2 linked regions of the Mus musculus genome follow. The protein of the gene in region 2 binds, or shares a complex with, the protein of the main gene of each other region. Links are inferred from orthologs where the notes say so. Each region holds a gene or a part of one and is shown on either strand. Other genes may lie near its edges.

Region 1 (3,500 bases), on a different chromosome or scaffold from region 2:
TAGGAGGGGTCACCAGCTCACTTTCTAAGACAGGTTCTAGTCCCTGATGGGAAGGCTCCAGCACTGGCTCAATAGGAGGGGTCACCAGCTCACTGTCCAAGACAGGTTCTAGTCCCTGATGGGAAGGCTCCAGCACTGGCTCAATAGGAGGGGTCACCAGCTCACTTTCCAAGACAGGTTCTAGTTCCTGATGGGAAGGCTCCAGCACTGGCTCAACAGGAGGGGTCACCAGCTCACTTTCCAAGACAGGTTCTAGTCCCTGATGGGAAGGCTCCAGCACTGGCTCGATAGGAGGGGTCACCAGCTCACTGTCCAGAAGACTTGTGGAAGCTGAAAGGCTTGAGGAAGTCAAGATTCCCTCCTAGAGAGAAAGTCATCATCACCTTGTAGAGTGAGGTTCTGGGTGAGGGAGAGCCCCACCACTCTCTCCTTAAAATAAACCCAGACAGTGAGGCAGCTCTAGGGGATGGCGGTAGTGTTATATCCCACCCTGTTACTAGAAGACAGCTGGTGGCCTCTTCTACTATGTTATTTTTCTGAGACAAGGTCTCACTCTGAAGCCCTAGAATTCACTATAGACTGGGCTGGCCTAGAACTCAGAATCTGCCTGCCTTTGCGCTCCAAGTGCTAGGATTAAGAGTATGCACCACTATACCTCAATACCCTGTTATTTTTCTATACAATATGTAATAATATTGACAGCGCCTAACCATGTACACACATACCTGTAACTCGCCTTCTGCTCTTAGGATCTCAGCTGCCATTTGAACCACAGGTGCATCATCCACTGGGGCTAAAGGCCGCTGGCTGGAGAGACAGAGTTGTCAGAGCTGGGTCTTCCCTGTGTGCCCTGCTCTGGCACTGAACTCTGTTACCTCCCTCTTATGCTGATTCACCTGAAAAACTGCTCATGTTGAGAAGGTACATGAAAATTATGATGTTTCTCTGGAGGTAAGAGTACCTGGCTGCTGGAATGCTAGCATAGTTTCAGGTCACAGCTGCTTCTTGGAGTACCTAAGGACAATGGCTTGCTGTGGTACCAGCCAGTTTTCACCTGATTGGTAGCGTATGTTTTTTTGTTGTTTATTTATTTATTTATTTTTTATTTACTTATTTTTTAAAAATATTTATTTATTATATGTAAGTACACTGTAGCTGTCTTCAGACACTCCAGAAGAGGGAGTCAGATCTCATTATAGATGGTTGTGAGCCACCATGTGGTTGCTGGGATTTGAACTCTGGACCTTTGGAAGAGCAGTCGGGTGCTCTTACCTAGTGAGCCATCTCACCAGCCCTGTTATTTATTTTTTTATTTTTAGTTTTTAAAGAAATGCTCTTACTACATAGAGAAATCTGGCTTCAAATTCTTTTTTTTTTTTTTTTTTTGGTTTTTTCGAGACAGGGTTTCTCTGTGTATCCCTGGCTGTCCTGGAACTCACTTTGTAGACCAGGCTGGCCTCGAACTCAGAAATCCCCCTGCCTCTGCCTCCCGAGTGCTGGGATTAAAGGCGTGTGCCACGTGTGCTTGGCTTCAAATTCTTGATCTGACTTCCTCAGCCACAATGCTAGGATTACTGGGGAACTACCTGCACTCATTTTACTGTTAGTAAGGTGCACATATGCTGTGAACAACTCTAGAGTGCCTCTCCCATGGTCTTGGGACAGGGATTCTGAAGCTGTGCCTCGTTTGGACTAACCTGAGATCTGTTTGTCCTGAAGTTTGAAGTAAAGTAGAATGCTGGCTACATAAACAAGTGGCATTTAGGTTCCAGATCACACACACATTAAGAAGCTGCTCTTGGGATGACAGTGTTCCCCTTTTCTGCGTACTGGCTTGGGGAGTTTGATCTAGATACTGAGGATGGAACTCAAGCCCTCACGTTTGTATAGCCAACAGTACCAAAGGAGCCATCTCCCAAGCCCTGACTCATCATTCATATGATAATTTCTGTTTATGAGTCTATCTGCTCTCTCCAAGTTTTGAGCACAGGAAGCCAAATGCTAATTTTTGTTTGTTTGTTTTGTTTTATTTGGTTTTTTGAGACAGGGTTTCTCTGTATAGCTCTGGCTATATAGAGAACTCATTTTGTAGACCAGGCTGGCCTCGAACTCAGAAATCCGCCTGCCTCTGTCTCCCGAGTGCTGGGATTAAAGGTGTCCACCACCACTTGGTGCCAAACGCTAATCTTAAGCAGAAGGGAGAGATAAGCAAACTCAATAGGAAGGAAACTATAGGTAATCTTGTCTGGAAATAAGATCTAATCATTCTATCAAGTCATAGAAATAAAGAATAGGTGGTAGGCACTGTGGGTTGTCCTGGTGCTGTTTATATTCTGATGGTAATTCTGCTTCCTCAAGAGGGGCTGCCCTCGACAAGCAGCCCATTATGTACTCAGGTGATTTCATGTGAACCGTCTCCCATTTTAACTAGTCAATAAAGGCTAGAGCCTGCGACTGGACAATGGAGGGGAAAGATGGGACTGGAGGTTTGAAAGTGGGGATAGGGTGAGAGAGGGAGGGAGGGAGGGAGGGGGGAGAGAGAGAGAGAGAGAGAGAGAGAGAGAGAAGAGAGAAGAGGAGAGGATGAGAGGGGAAGGAGAAAAGATGGAACAGGAGGAGGAAGAAGCCATGTTGGGCCAGGAGGAACTGTAAGTAACAAGGGATCTTATAGCTGGAGAAGAAGTTTGTATAGTGTTAGATCTGCCCAATCTAGGCTTACAGCTTACAATGATAATAACTGGATTGGGTAGTTTTTATATGGGCTTTGGGGTTAGGTAGGAACATAGCAAAAGAGTAAAGGATGGAATTAAAACAGTTCAACTAGCTGATGATTAACTCTCAACTGACAACCGTGCCAGATACTACACTTAAGGACAGTGATCAAGAGAAGAAAGTCTAGATAGGACAGGACTGGAAGATTTTGCAACAACCCTCAGAGAGGACAGACAGTACTGAAGAACAGTGAAAGGCATCCACACTTACTTTTCTTTCTGTAAGAAGACACAGTGGTCATTTTGTAATCCAAAAGGAGCCTCACGCTTATTGGTCATGTTAGGACTTAAGATCCTGTGTGTCTGTGGATCCCGAGGTGGTGTCTGGAACGTCACCTAGTGAAAGTCGAGGAGAGTGCATATGCTCCATGATACACGCCCTCACAAGCAAGCCAACCTGCTACAGTGCAAGGCTCTCAGAAAGCCAGTCCCAGAGTACCTGAGGAGCATACACAGTACAGTCCGCACTTACATTTGTGGCCTTAGCCTGGCTCTGGGGTGGTACATTTTCTTTCTGTGACAGACAAAGAACAGATGATCTGCCGGTAAGTTCTGGTGGCAAAAACTGGAAATCACGGCACTGTGAACTCTTTTCATTGGGCACGTTTTCGTCATTTAAGACATGCAGACTCATTCTGGGAAAACAGTATGTTTTAGTCACTAGGAAGTCAATGATGCTGCAGCGTATGTACAGAAATGCCCCGTGAGCATAGCAGGGAGATGTTCTAT
Region 2 (4,508 bases):
GGCAGGAGGGGCACTGACTGAGTTCTAGGCCAGCCTCTGCGCCTGAGGCAAACTTTATTGTTACTGAAAGTTTATATCAAATCCTTGCAGCAATTTTACGTTTAGGAGAAAAGACGATAGAATCATCCTCAAGCAATTTTGAAAAAAAAAAAACAGTCTAAATCTAAGGTTATGCTGGGCTTCCAGGGCGTATTGCCGTTCTCTCAGATCATCCATCCCCTGGGTCTTTCTATCACAGCACTTATTTGACCACGTCTCACTGTGTAATCCTGGCCAGTCCCAGACTCACAATATAGAACAGCCTGGCCTCTATCTCAGTCTGCCCACTACTGACTCCTAAATACTGGGATTAGAGGTGTGCCCACCAAGCCCCACCCAACAGAAATATTTTTTAAGAATGTTATCTCCAAAACTAAAATGCATAGAAATTATGTTTTTCAATAGGAAAAAAAGGACAAAGAAGACCACGGAGGCCTTGAAAACAATCACTACTGCACGGGATGATCTGTGTTGTGTCAGTCTTAACGAGATCTTAAGACTAAACTAATCACACTCAGAGACGCTGGCACTCCCTCCTCCTTAAATGAGGCGCTCAGGATCCACCATGAGCTCAGAGGGTCTGAGGTTTCCACAGCAGAGCCATTTCCTGAAGAAACAGAGGCTCAGGTAGCCTCCAGGCAGGGTCAACCTAAAGTTTCTACCCAAAGCCACGGAGGAAAGGATTCGATTCCACGAGCACTGTACAGATTTGCTCAGGGACTAAGGTCTTTTACAGCCAAGCCTAAGGACCTGGGTTAGGGTCTCTGGACCCACTCTGACAAGTTGCTCTCTGACCTACACAGTGGCATATGCATAGGTGCACACAAACAAAATGCACATCATTTAAAAAATACCGATTGTGGGGGCTGGAGAGATGGCTCAGCGATGAAGAGTACTGGCTACTCTTCCAGAGGTCCTGAGTTCAATTCCCAGCAACCACATGGTGGCTTATAACCATCTGTAATGCCCTCTTCTAGTGTGCATGAAGACACATTCATAGTCATAAAATAAGCAAAGAAATCTTTTGTTTGTTTTCGTTTTGGGTTTGCTTTTTGTTTTGTTTTGTTTTTAGTTTTTTTCAAGACAGAGTTTCTCTGTGTAGCCCTGGCTGTCCTGGAACTCACTCTGTAGACCAGACTGGCCTCAAACTCAGAAATCCGCCTGCCTCTGCCTCCTTGCATCCCCAGTGTTGGGATTAAAGGCATGCGCCACCACGCCCGGCAGAAATAAATCTTTTAAAAGCCGAAATTGTAAATACAGGTAATTCTGTACCTTAACAGGCCTGGAGACACAGTTTTCTTTACATCTGTCCATGTCACCTGAAAAAGGAAACAAGAGCCTTTCTTTTAGGAGGAGTCCAAGTCCTTCACCTTCGGATCTACACCAAATGACCTTGATGGTTCTCACTCAGCTCAAAGATTTACTACAAGAAAGTTGCACATGCCACAGGGTTCCCCTTTTCAGATCAGGGAAGCTAGGCAGGAGGCAGAAGCCCTGAGCAAAGGACTGCAGTTGCAGCTACCTCACACTCCTGGGCCCCAGACCAAGGTTAATAACCAGCCCTGCAGTTTAGCTTTCCCATAATAGCTACACCAGGGTCTTATCCCTAAGAGGTTTCTATTTCCTGTATTTGCAGTGGAGCCAGGATTTGTTTGTTAGGTTTGGATTTTTTTTTTGAGACAGGGTCTCCCTGGGTAGTCCTGGCTGTTCTGGAACTCATTATGTAGGTAGACCAAGCTGGCCTTGAACTCACCGAGTTCCTCCCTCTGCCTCCAAAAGGCTGGGATTAAAAGAATGCAAGACCACACCTAACCTTTATGTTTGTGGTAGAGACAAGAGTTCCATGGATCCCAGGCTGGCCTTGAGCATGCTATACGGTGGAGGATTACTCTGAACTCCTGATCCTCCCGCCTGCAGTTCCGCAGTGCTAGGACCACAGAGGTCATCACCATCCTCGGGGTTCCAAGTGCTGGGAATGGAATCCAGGGCTGGCTAGGCAAGCACCCTACTAACTGAACTACATCCCCAGACAGGCTCTCACTTATTAGCTGTGGCTGGCCTTAAATCGAAGGCTAACCTCCTGCCTCAGACTGCTGATGTAAGCAACCACACATTTAGGTGTGTGTGTGTGTGTGTGTGTGTGTGTGTGTGTGTGTGTGGTGGGGATGGAGGTGTTGAGGTAGGGACGTATGTGGATGTAATTTAGGCTGGTTTTTCGGACCTACTGTGTAGCTGAGGATGACCTTTGACTTGATCCTGCCTCCACCACCTTACTGTTGGAATAAACAGCGGCGGCCACCACGAAGGCAGTGTTCAATCCTAAAACTTCTGGAATATTCTACAAACTGAGCTTTAGCGGGTCTGCGCTTTGAAACAGACCCTCAAGTAGTCCCGACATAAACTGCTCAGAAGGCTGCGGGAAGAGCAGCACCAGTCCTGGGCACTCTACGAGGGAACTCCCGTTCATCCACAGACTCGTCGAGTCGACTTAGACTCTGATTCTCCACCCGAAGCAGTCCCCAATAAGCCGCAGTTCCCGCATCCACCATCGGTTTGCAAATTACTCGGTTAGCTGATGGTCTGGATCCCCATTCCCACAAGAACCTAAAACCAAGCCGGGAAATCTTAAACGTCTGGACCTTTCTTAAACAGAATGCAAACCCACTGAGACAGTCCATTACCCCGACGCCACACAGCCTTCCCTATCCGTTTGCAGCATCCAGGCTCGCCCTCAACAGCCATGTCCCTTTCCAACTCACAGGCAGGAACCTGCTCCCGACCGAAGCCTCCAAGCGATCCCGGTAGCTCAGCCGTTACAATTCAAAGGTTCTCCTTTTAAAATAGGAGTCAAACCCTCTACTCCAAGAGCTGATTGGCTAGAGCCGGAGCAATGCCGTTCTGTGATTGGCTCACCGTAAACGCGACTATGGGAAGCTCGTTCCCTGCCGTAGCTGGGCGCAGGCGCACTGAGCTGTCGGAGCCCGGAAGTGGTGCACCAACGGCCCGTCCGATCTGCGGCCGTTCTATCGCCCGCCGTGCTCCCCAGGATCAGGCGTTCGCCAGTCACACACAGCCCTTTGGATTCAAGGCAGTCGCGGAGGTGATTAGTTCGGAGACGGTGAATGAGCGTCTCGAACGTGCCAGTGAGTAAGATGGCGAGAAGGGCAGACTTGCGAGGGAGCAGGGATGCTCGGCGCTCGGCTGCATGCCCTTTGCACGTGCGCACTGGGTGTGCACTCCGAGCGATCGATCGGGCACGATTCGCTCCTCCATTTTTCTAGAAGAGAGCGGGAGACCGAGACCCTGATCTGCGGGTACGGGGTCAAGGGGGCGTAAGGAAGCGGGCTAGTGTGGTTGGCTAGGGTCTGTAGTGGATCACGTGAAGGACCGGGGCTAACGGAGAGGATGGCAGGAGGCCGCTCGCCCCAAGTCCGTGTCCTAGAGTTGGCCGGCCCGGCCTGCACCCCGGCTCTCAAAGGGCCTCGGTCCCGGTGGGTCCAAGCCGGAATTCCGCCCTGAGCAGAAGTGGTCGCGCGGCTTCGCTTTGGGCCCCCTGCATTCCCCGGTGTTAGCTTTCCGGGGGCGAGCTCCTCCGGTCTCGTGCCTCGGTGTCCCCTCCGGGAAGGATATAAGTTATCTGTGTCCCATTGGAAGTTAAGCGGGGAGTTAAGTAAAGGCTCAACCTCCTTCTCCCACCCCCGTTTTCTTTAAATGTCGTGATACAACCCCAGATGTTTCCTGACAGGAGTAAAGATGATAGGTCAAATGGTTAAGTTCTGGGCTCTGGAGTGTGCAGGCTCCCCCTCAACTTTGAGGGGAAGGGGAGGGCTTAACTTGAACGGGTGCCCTAGATTCTTAGAACACATTTCACCCTCTGTTGTGTCCCAATATCTTATGCAGGGGTAGATTTGTATTCATTTCTTTCTTTTTAAAAAAAAACTTATTTAGCTTTATTTTACATGCATTGGTGTCTAGGTGGCAGGCCCCTTGGAACTGGAGTTAGAGACAGTTGTAAGCCGCCATGGGAATTGAACCCAGGTCCTTTGGAAGAGCAGACAGTGCTCTTAACCACTGAGCCATCTTTCCAGCCCCCATTTCTTTCTAATGAACACGAATATATTGAATAGCTTCGTTTAGTGATTGGATGCTAATTAGGTGCTTGGCACCGCATCTGCCAGTAGGACCTGCATGGTGTTATTATTGTTAAGAACTCTGGTCAGTACTATGCTGTGTGGCCTTGCTAGTCATTTGGTTTAAAACTGAGCCCGGGGTGTCTGTCAGCAAGCATTGTAACTCTTGGCTGTTTCTCCAGGCTACCTTCTTGCTTGATGTCTCCAGACTCCTATAGTCAAACATCTAACCACACACATACTTATCAAATTACCCACCCAGGTTGATTAAGAAATCAGTTTTGTTTGGAGAGCTTAGATCTTAAGAGTATAATGTGTTTGGATTTTTACATTTATTTG

What was found. The genes of interacting proteins can lie anywhere in the genome.
Region 1: the proteins of Aurka (region 2) and Tacc3 are in contact, whole or in part, in a crystal structure (PDB 5ODT), measured with the Homo sapiens proteins. The link is inferred for Mus musculus from reciprocal best matches to the Homo sapiens genes AURKA and TACC3. Residues at the interface, in NP_001310232.1 of Homo sapiens: Leu130, Phe133, Glu134, Ile135, Gly136, Arg137, Tyr148, Leu149, Ala150, Arg151, Ile158, Val163, Arg205, Tyr207; in NP_001428248.1 of Homo sapiens: Glu523, Ser524, Phe525, Arg526, Pro528, Val531, Leu532, Gly533.

What each region holds. Positions count from the first base shown.
Region 1 is NC_000071.6:33,661,128-33,664,627, reverse strand, and holds part of Tacc3 (transforming acidic coiled-coil-containing protein 3), read right to left. Parts: intron 3,407-3,500; 5' UTR 3,406-3,406; coding exon 3,244-3,405; intron 3,108-3,243; coding exon 2,983-3,107; intron 808-2,982; coding exon 726-807; intron 362-725; coding exon 1-361. UniProt on the Homo sapiens protein: Plays a role in the microtubule-dependent coupling of the nucleus and the centrosome. Involved in the processes that regulate centrosome-mediated interkinetic nuclear migration (INM) of neural progenitors.
Region 2 is NC_000068.7:172,367,675-172,372,182, forward strand, and holds the start of Aurka (aurora kinase A), read right to left. Parts: upstream 2,897-4,508; 5' UTR 2,799-2,896; exon of another isoform or gene 2,782-2,798; coding exon of another isoform or gene 2,721-2,781; intron 1,359-2,720; coding exon of another isoform or gene 1,354-1,358; coding exon 1,312-1,353; intron 1-1,311. UniProt on the Homo sapiens protein: Mitotic serine/threonine kinase that contributes to the regulation of cell cycle progression.